Linked DNA regions of Oryctolagus cuniculus. The protein of the gene in region 1 interacts with the protein of each later gene in a biochemical or structural test. Links are inferred from orthologs where the notes say so. Each region holds a gene or a part of one and is shown on either strand. Other genes may lie near its edges. The genes, in order: RACGAP1 and ECT2.

Evidence for each region.
Region 2: the proteins of RACGAP1 (region 1) and ECT2 form a complex in vitro, tested with the Homo sapiens proteins (3 studies listed by BioGRID and IntAct, with this or other methods). The link is inferred for Oryctolagus cuniculus from reciprocal best matches to the Homo sapiens genes RACGAP1 and ECT2.

Annotation. Positions count from the first base shown.
Region 1 is NC_091442.1:53,338,336-53,342,154, forward strand, and holds part of RACGAP1 (rac GTPase-activating protein 1), read right to left. Parts: intron 3,458-3,819; coding exon 3,293-3,457; intron 1-3,292.
Region 2 is NC_091435.1:107,467,983-107,471,801, forward strand, and holds part of ECT2 (protein ECT2), read right to left. Parts: intron 3,407-3,819; coding exon 3,276-3,406; intron 3,132-3,275; coding exon 3,016-3,131; intron 2,617-3,015; coding exon 2,554-2,616; intron 924-2,553; coding exon 701-923; intron 1-700. UniProt on the Homo sapiens protein: Guanine nucleotide exchange factor (GEF) that catalyzes the exchange of GDP for GTP. Promotes guanine nucleotide exchange on the Rho family members of small GTPases, like RHOA, RHOC, RAC1 and CDC42.

The DNA.
Region 1 (3,819 bases):
CTACCTCCACTAACCCTCAGGATGGGACAACATGTCTACTTTTAAATTCCTACTGCCAGGGCAGGCACTGTAGCATAGTGGGTAAAGCTGCCACCTATGGTGCAGCATCCCACATGGGCACCAGTTCCAGTCCCAGCTGCTCCACTTCCTATCCAGCTCTCTGCTAATGGCCTGGGAAAGCACTGGAAGACGGCCGAAGTCCTTGGGTCCCTGCACCCACATGGGAGACCTGGAGGAAGTTCCTGGCTCCGGATTGGCACAGCTCTGGCCGTTGTGGCCAACTGAGAAGTGAACCAGAGGATGGAAGACCTCTCTCTCTGCCTCTCCTTCTCTCTCTGTGTAACTCTGACTTTTAAATAAATAAATAAATCTTAAAAAAAAAAAAAAAAAGAAATTGCTATTGCCAAAGCATATATCAAACACAGATCCTCAGTTTCTTTTCCTACCTCCAAACTAGGACCAATTCATGGTCCTAAAAACCCCTTGCAAACAGGTAATAAGACTATCAGCCATAACCATTACCTCTTTCTCTTCAACAATAATGAGCAATAATGAGATTACAGGTATGGCTTATAATATAATATAATATAATATAATATAATATAATATAATATAATATAATTATAGGTATGGCTTTTAAAATAAATACTGTAAAAAGGAAAAACTCCTGGGGCTGGCGTTGTGGCACAGTGAGTTAAGCCACTGCACACAATGCCAGCAGTCATATGGCCGCCAGTTTGAGTCTCGGCTGCTCAAATTCCAATCCAGCTCCCTGCTAACGTGCCTGGGAAAGCAACAGAAGACAGCCAAGTTTTTGGACCCCTGCAACCATGTGGGAGACCCAGATGGAGTTCCAGGCTCTTGGCTTCTACCTGGCCAAGCCCTGGCTATTGGGGCCATTTGGGGACCGAACCACGGGATGGAAGATATATTGTGCTCTCTCTTTCTCCCCTTCTCTCTGTAACTCTGCCTTTCAAATCAATCAATATTTATTTATTTATTTTATTTATTTTTTTGACAGGCAGAGTTTAGACAGTGAGAGAGAGACAGAGAGAAAGATCTTCCTTCCGTTGGTTCACCCCGCAAATGGCTGCCACGGCCAGCGCTGCACCGATCCGAAACCAGGAGCCAGGTACTTCCTCCTAGTCTCCCATGCGGGTGCAGGGACCCAAGTACTTGGGCCATCCTCCTCTGCCTTGCCGGGCCACAACAGAGAGCTGGAATGGAAGAGGAGCAACCAGGACAGAATCCGGTGCCCCAACTGGGACTAGAACCTGGGGTGCCAGAGCTGCAGGCAGAGGATTAGCCTAGTGAGCCGTGGCGCCGGCCAAATCAATTAATCTTAAAAAAACAAAAACAAAAACAAAAAACCTTCTTTGTAATTTAACTTTTTGCAGTATAAAAAATGATTTAACACACCTCATAGATGACCATGATACCAACCTACCTGCAGAGGAGAGTTTCACGGCCCTCTAACAGAGTTCTATATTACAGAGAATTTGTGCAACAGCAGATGTGCAAATAAGAACTCTTAAGATTAGGGGGAAATAACCTTTAATTTATGACAGAGTGGATAGCAGCACAGTTACTTTGCATTGATCCTTGCTAATGGTGCTTACATAATAAATTTAACTGATTTAACTGATTTTTAGAAATGAGAAACCTCGTCTCAATAACCTAGTATGGAATATATAACATGACAGATATTCACAGACGAAATTACATAATGGAGGCCGGTGCTGTGGCATAGTGGATAAAGCCACTGCCTGCAGTGCCGGCATCAAATATGGGTGCCGGTTCGGGTCCCAGCTGCTCCACTTCTGATGCAGCTCTCTGCTATGGCCTGGGAAAGCAGTGGAAGATGGACCGAGTCCTTGGGCCCCTGCACCTGCATGGGAGACCTGAAAGAAGCTCCTGGCTTCAGATCGGCACATCTCCAGCCACTGCGGCCAATTGGGGAGTGAATCAGCAAATGGAAGACCTCCCTCTTTCTGCATCTCCTCTCTCTGTGTAACTCTGACTTTCAAATAAATAAATAAATAAATCTTATTGAAAAAAAAAAAAAAGAAATTACATGATGGCTGTAAACTGCCTCAAAATAACTCAATAGGCAGGATCAGCAAGGAGAGGTGAGGATACTGATAAGTTAAGAACTGACATGAGGGGGCTGGCATTCCATATGGGCACCAGATAAGTCCCGGCTGCTCCACTTCTTTTTGTTTTTTTTTGAAAGATTTATTTATTTCTTTGAAAGTCAGAGTTACACAGAGAGAGCAGAGGCAGAGAGAGAGAGAGAATTCTTCCATCCGCTGGTTCACTCCCCAGTAGGCCACAATGGCCAGAGCTGTGCTGATCTGAAGCCAGGAGCCAGGAGCTTCTTCAGGGTCCCATATGTGGGTGCAGGGGCCCAAGGACTTGGGCCATCTTCTACTGCTTTCCCAGGCCAGAGCAGAGAGCTGGATCAGAAGTGGAGCAGCCGGGACTTGAATCGGTGCCCATATGGGATGCTAGCACTGCAGGCGGTGACTTTACCCGCTACACCACTGCACTGGCCACTTCTGATCCAGTTCTCTATTATGGCCTGGGAAAGCAGTAGAAGATGGCCCAAGTGCTTGGGCCCCTGCACCCACATGGGAGACCCGGACTAAGCTCCTGGATTTGGATCAGCCCAACTCCAGCTGCTGCAGCCATTTAGGGAGTGAACCAGCAGATGGAAGATCTTTCTGTCTCTCCTTCTCTAACTCTACCTCTCAAATAAATAAATCTTAACAACAACAAAAAAAGACATGAGTAACAACAGTTAACTAACAGGAAGTTAAGTAACAGGAAGCAGGAGTTAGTTACACTAATTCCTCTACATAACTGAATTTTTCCATAGTGTATCATGGCGAGGGGATTTTGGCTTAAAACGATTATTAATGGCCAGCGCCGCAGCTCAATAGGCTAATCCTCCACCTGCGGCGCCGGCACTCCGGGTTCCAGTCCTGGTCAGGGCGCCGGATTCTGTCCCGGTTGCCCCTCTTCCAGGCCAGCTCTCTGCTGTGACCTGGGAAGGCAGTGGAGGATGGCCCAAGTGCTTGGGCCCTGCACCCCATGGGAGACCAGGAGAAACACCTGGCTCCTGCCATCGGATCAGCACGGTGCGCCAGCCGCAGCTGCCAGCCATGGCGGCCACTGGAGGGTGAACCAACGGCAAAAGGAAGACCTTTCTCTCTGTCTCTCTCTCTCTATCTACTCTGCCTGTCCAAAAAAAAAAAAAAATTAAATAAGCAGACAAATCCACAAGTCATACCTCTCCTATCTTGACAGGTGTGCCCATCAGAGTGGGAATGCAGGGAAGAGGACAGCGCTCCCGGCATTCTGGATGTGAAACCACACGACAATCTCGACACTTCAGAGAGAGTTTGCCAAATTTGATTCGCTTCCCACATGGAACACAGGATTCAGGCTTAATAACCTGAGGATAAAACATGAGAGACGGAACAGAGCGGCATAAGCGAGAAAATATCATCATCAACCAACATTCACTGAGCATTTGGTATGTGCCAAACAACTTCCCAAACCTTTTATACATATTATGTAATTCTCACACAATCCTCTAAGGTAGGTTTTAGTTTCTTCATTTTAAGATAAAGAAATAAAATCAAAAAGAGCTTGAGTAACTTGCCTAAGGTCATACAGCTAGATGTCAACAGCCTGGAACTATGGAAAGAACGTGCTGAGGAGGGGTCAGAAAAGCCGCGCATTAAACTCACCTCCTACTAACACACAGCACAAACATGTCAATTAACTCCCCGAGACCTAGTTTGCTTGCTTGGG
Region 2 (3,819 bases), on another chromosome or scaffold:
CTTGGGCCCCTGAAACCACATGGAAGACCAGAAAGAAACTCCTGGCTCCTGGCTTCAGATTGGCCCAGCTCTGGCCCTTGAGGTCATTTTTGCTGTAAGAGGGGATAGAACCGTTTTTTTCTATATTCTGTACTGCATGTTTTCTTCAATATGTAACCGATTAGTATCTTATCAACATATGCAGCTAAACAGAAATATTAATAGATTTTAAAAAAGACAATATATTTGCTTGCAAAATGCAAATAAAAAGATAAGGAATTATTGATGATCAAAGAGAGAGGAATTAATTGCAGCCTTCCTGTGTCAGTAAATTTATCCTTTCCTAACTTCATTCTATTTTCTCCATAACTCACATATTTGTGTGATTCCACTTAGTGTTAATTTTCTTTTTGAATAGCTCTACTACTCCCTAGCACAAAAGTCTGAGTAAATTACTTCTCTGTACTTCAGTTCAGTCATGTTAAATAAGGATAACAAAACCTACTATAAGTATATGAAATACATAAAGCACTTGGCATATAGTAAGTAGTCACTAAATAAAAAGCATTATTATGCTTATCTTTTCAAGTATGTTCTCCATTTGAACAAAGGTAACTCAAGGTAAAGCCCTTCATATTCAACTTGGTAGAGATTTACTTATACTTTAACTATATTCCGTTCCACTAAATTATAAAGATCAACTTTTTAAAATGTGAATTACCTCCATAGTTAATGCTAGAGTCTGGTGTATTAGAGATATCCAGAAGTGATCCTATAGAAAGGGAATGTTCAGCTGACGGCCGTTTACGGGGAGGGAAAGGTGATAAATCTGTCTCTCTTGAAAGCTGAGCGAGTGTCTCTTTTAAACGTCGTCTTTTGCGATTGCTGTTTGGCGTACTTAGAGACAGTAGTGACACTGACTTCTTGAGCTCAGGAGTATTAGCCTGCAATCAGAAGCAGAAAAGTTCAATTTTACTTCTATGGTTCTTTACTGAGATAGGAACAAGAGAAAAATATATTTGAGTCTGACAAAATCTGAATTTTTGTACAATCCTACACCCTGCCAAGAAATTTAGAAGCTTTATAAAACATAATAGTCAAGACATCACTGTTAATTGTCTAACCCTTACCACCTCATATTTTTCCCTTTAATAGTCCTATCACATATTCATCTATTAGTCTATTCATCTATTATTTACCTACTTTCTACTCTTCCATTCAGCCATAAACTCCACAATGGCAGTGACCACTCACATTCTGTTCACTGTAACTCTAACATTTAGTGCAGTGCCTGGACATGATACCCTCCAATATTTGCTGAAAACACTTGATTTTAATAGCTCTTTCTCTAAATCTGAAACAGTTTTTCAAATCTATATTAAGACAACACTGAACAGTACAGCCTGAAGAAAACACAATAATAAACTCATATCTCATCTTCAATATTTTACTCATTATTTTATCATTATTCATTTTCACTTTATTAAATCCCAAACTGAAGTAAGCTTTCTCTCTTTTTTTTTTTTTTTTTTTTTGACAGGCAGAGTGGACAGTGAGAGAGACAGAGAGAAAGGTCTTCCTTTGCCATTGGTTCACCCTCCAATGGCCACCGCGGCCGGCGCACCACACTGATCCGAAAGCAAGAGCCAGGTGCTTCTCCTGGTCTCCCATGGGGTGCAGGGCCCAAGGACTTGGGCCATCCTCCACTGCACTCCCTGGCCACAGCAGAGAGCTGGCCTGGAAGAGGGGCAACCGGGACAGAATCCGGCGCCCCGACTGGGACTAGAACCCGGGGTGCCGGCGCCACAAGGCAGAGGATTAGCCTAGTGAGCTGCGGCGCCGGCTAAGTAAGCTTTCTCTTAAAGCCTATTTCTATACCTCAATGCCATTTTGACGAATGGCACTAACTTCCATGGAGATTCAGCAGACAGGCTGGGTTTTCCTTGCCTAACCTACTATTAACATCATCTTTTCAGTGATATTTATTAATATTCATCAGTAGTTCCTAATTCTTAAATTTAAGCTATTTAACACTTTAAAAACTTCTTGATCCTGCCGTTGAAGTTTATCCTATACTCTTTTTAAAGCCATACTAAAAGAAATAGTCGTGTTAAAGTACTTACTATTTTAATGTATTCCCAAGATTTCATATCCTTTCGCCTGCTATTCTAACCTGAATACACTTACCACTTAGCTTAGTAAATTGGTTCAAAATTTATTTTCAATCCTGCATTACTCAATTGTAGCATATATTATTCTGCACTGTAACTGCTTACAAATCTGTTTTTCCCTTAAGCTTCCAAGTTTCTTAAGATGTTATTTTTCTTAATGATACCACTAAGAATTAGCAAAAAAAATGATGCATATTAGTATTAAGTAATATCCATTACATTGAGTACTTCTACTTAAATCTAAGTAGACTAAGAATTTACTTGATATCCAATTTTTCTTAAATTCCTAAACATGTCAAAAAAGATCACAGTATATCATGTTCTCTAAACCTTTCAGATAGAAAAGTGTTATTTTTATATAATCAAGTTGACAGAACAAATGACTAAAGGACAAAACACATACCTTTTCGTACAAATACATAGTTTCTCCAGCTCGGGCATCCATTTGAATGCTTCCCCAGAACCACTAGGTGAAAGAACATTTGAATTAATTGTTTAAATTTGCCTTACCAGACATGCTATTATTAATGTTTTAAAAAATCTATTTAAAGGTGGGTATTTGACACAGTGGGTACTCATAGTAGAGTGCTTGGGTTTAAATCCCAACTCTACTTCTGATTCCAGCTTCCTGTTAACACAGACCCTGAGAGGTCCCAGTGATGGCTCAAGTAGTTGAGTCTCTGCCACCCACACGAAAGATCCAAACTGCTTTCCAAACTCCTGGCTTTGGCTTGGCCCAGCCCCAGCCCCAGCTACTGTGCAGTTGGAAAAGTAACCAGTGGATTGGAGATATTTCTATCTCTGTCCCTATGCCTTTCAAATAAATAAATAATTTTTAATCCAATTTCATTCTAGAATTACTTGCCTCTTGCTTGACAACATAAAGTTTCTTCGAAGGTTCAAATGGAAGTTCTTTTACTATATTCTCTTCAACAATAAGGTGAGTACATCTTTCATCTCCAACTGGCAAATATTTACCTCCTACAGAGAAATGCATGCAAGTATAAATAAGCCAAACTAATTATTTCCAAACTCAAAATTTTATTAAGAGGCATATCATTAGAAAAGATTAAGAAGACAGATGAAGTGAAATATACATAACTTTTAAATTATGTTAAAATTTACCTTGCATTTCAGTCATCTCTTCCATATTGGCTTTTTCTTCATCTGAAAACCCCAGGAAACTCAAAATGCAATCTTGAAATGGAGGAACTTTAAATTCATTTCTAAAGTCATCAATTGTTGCACAGAAATCCCTGAAACAAACAAAAATCCTTTTAAAAAAAAAAGATTTTTATTTATTTATTTGAAAGGCATTTAGTTACAGAGAAGCAGAGAGAGAGGGAGTCTTCCATCCGCTGGTTCACTTTCCAAATGGCTGTGGGGCTGACCTGAAGCCAGGAGCCTGGAGTTTCTTCCATATTTCCCACATGGGTGCAGGGACCCAAGGTCTTGGGCCATCCTCTACTGCTTTTCCAGGCACATCAGCAGGGAGCTGGATCAGAAGTGGAGCAACCAGGACTCGAACCAGTGTCCACATGGGATGCCAGCACTGCAGGGAGCAGCTTCACCTGCTACACCACAGCACCGGCCCCACAAAACTACTCTTCTAACTTAAATCCCATTGGTTAGATATATCAATTTATAAGTCTAAAGTAATTCTCAGGGT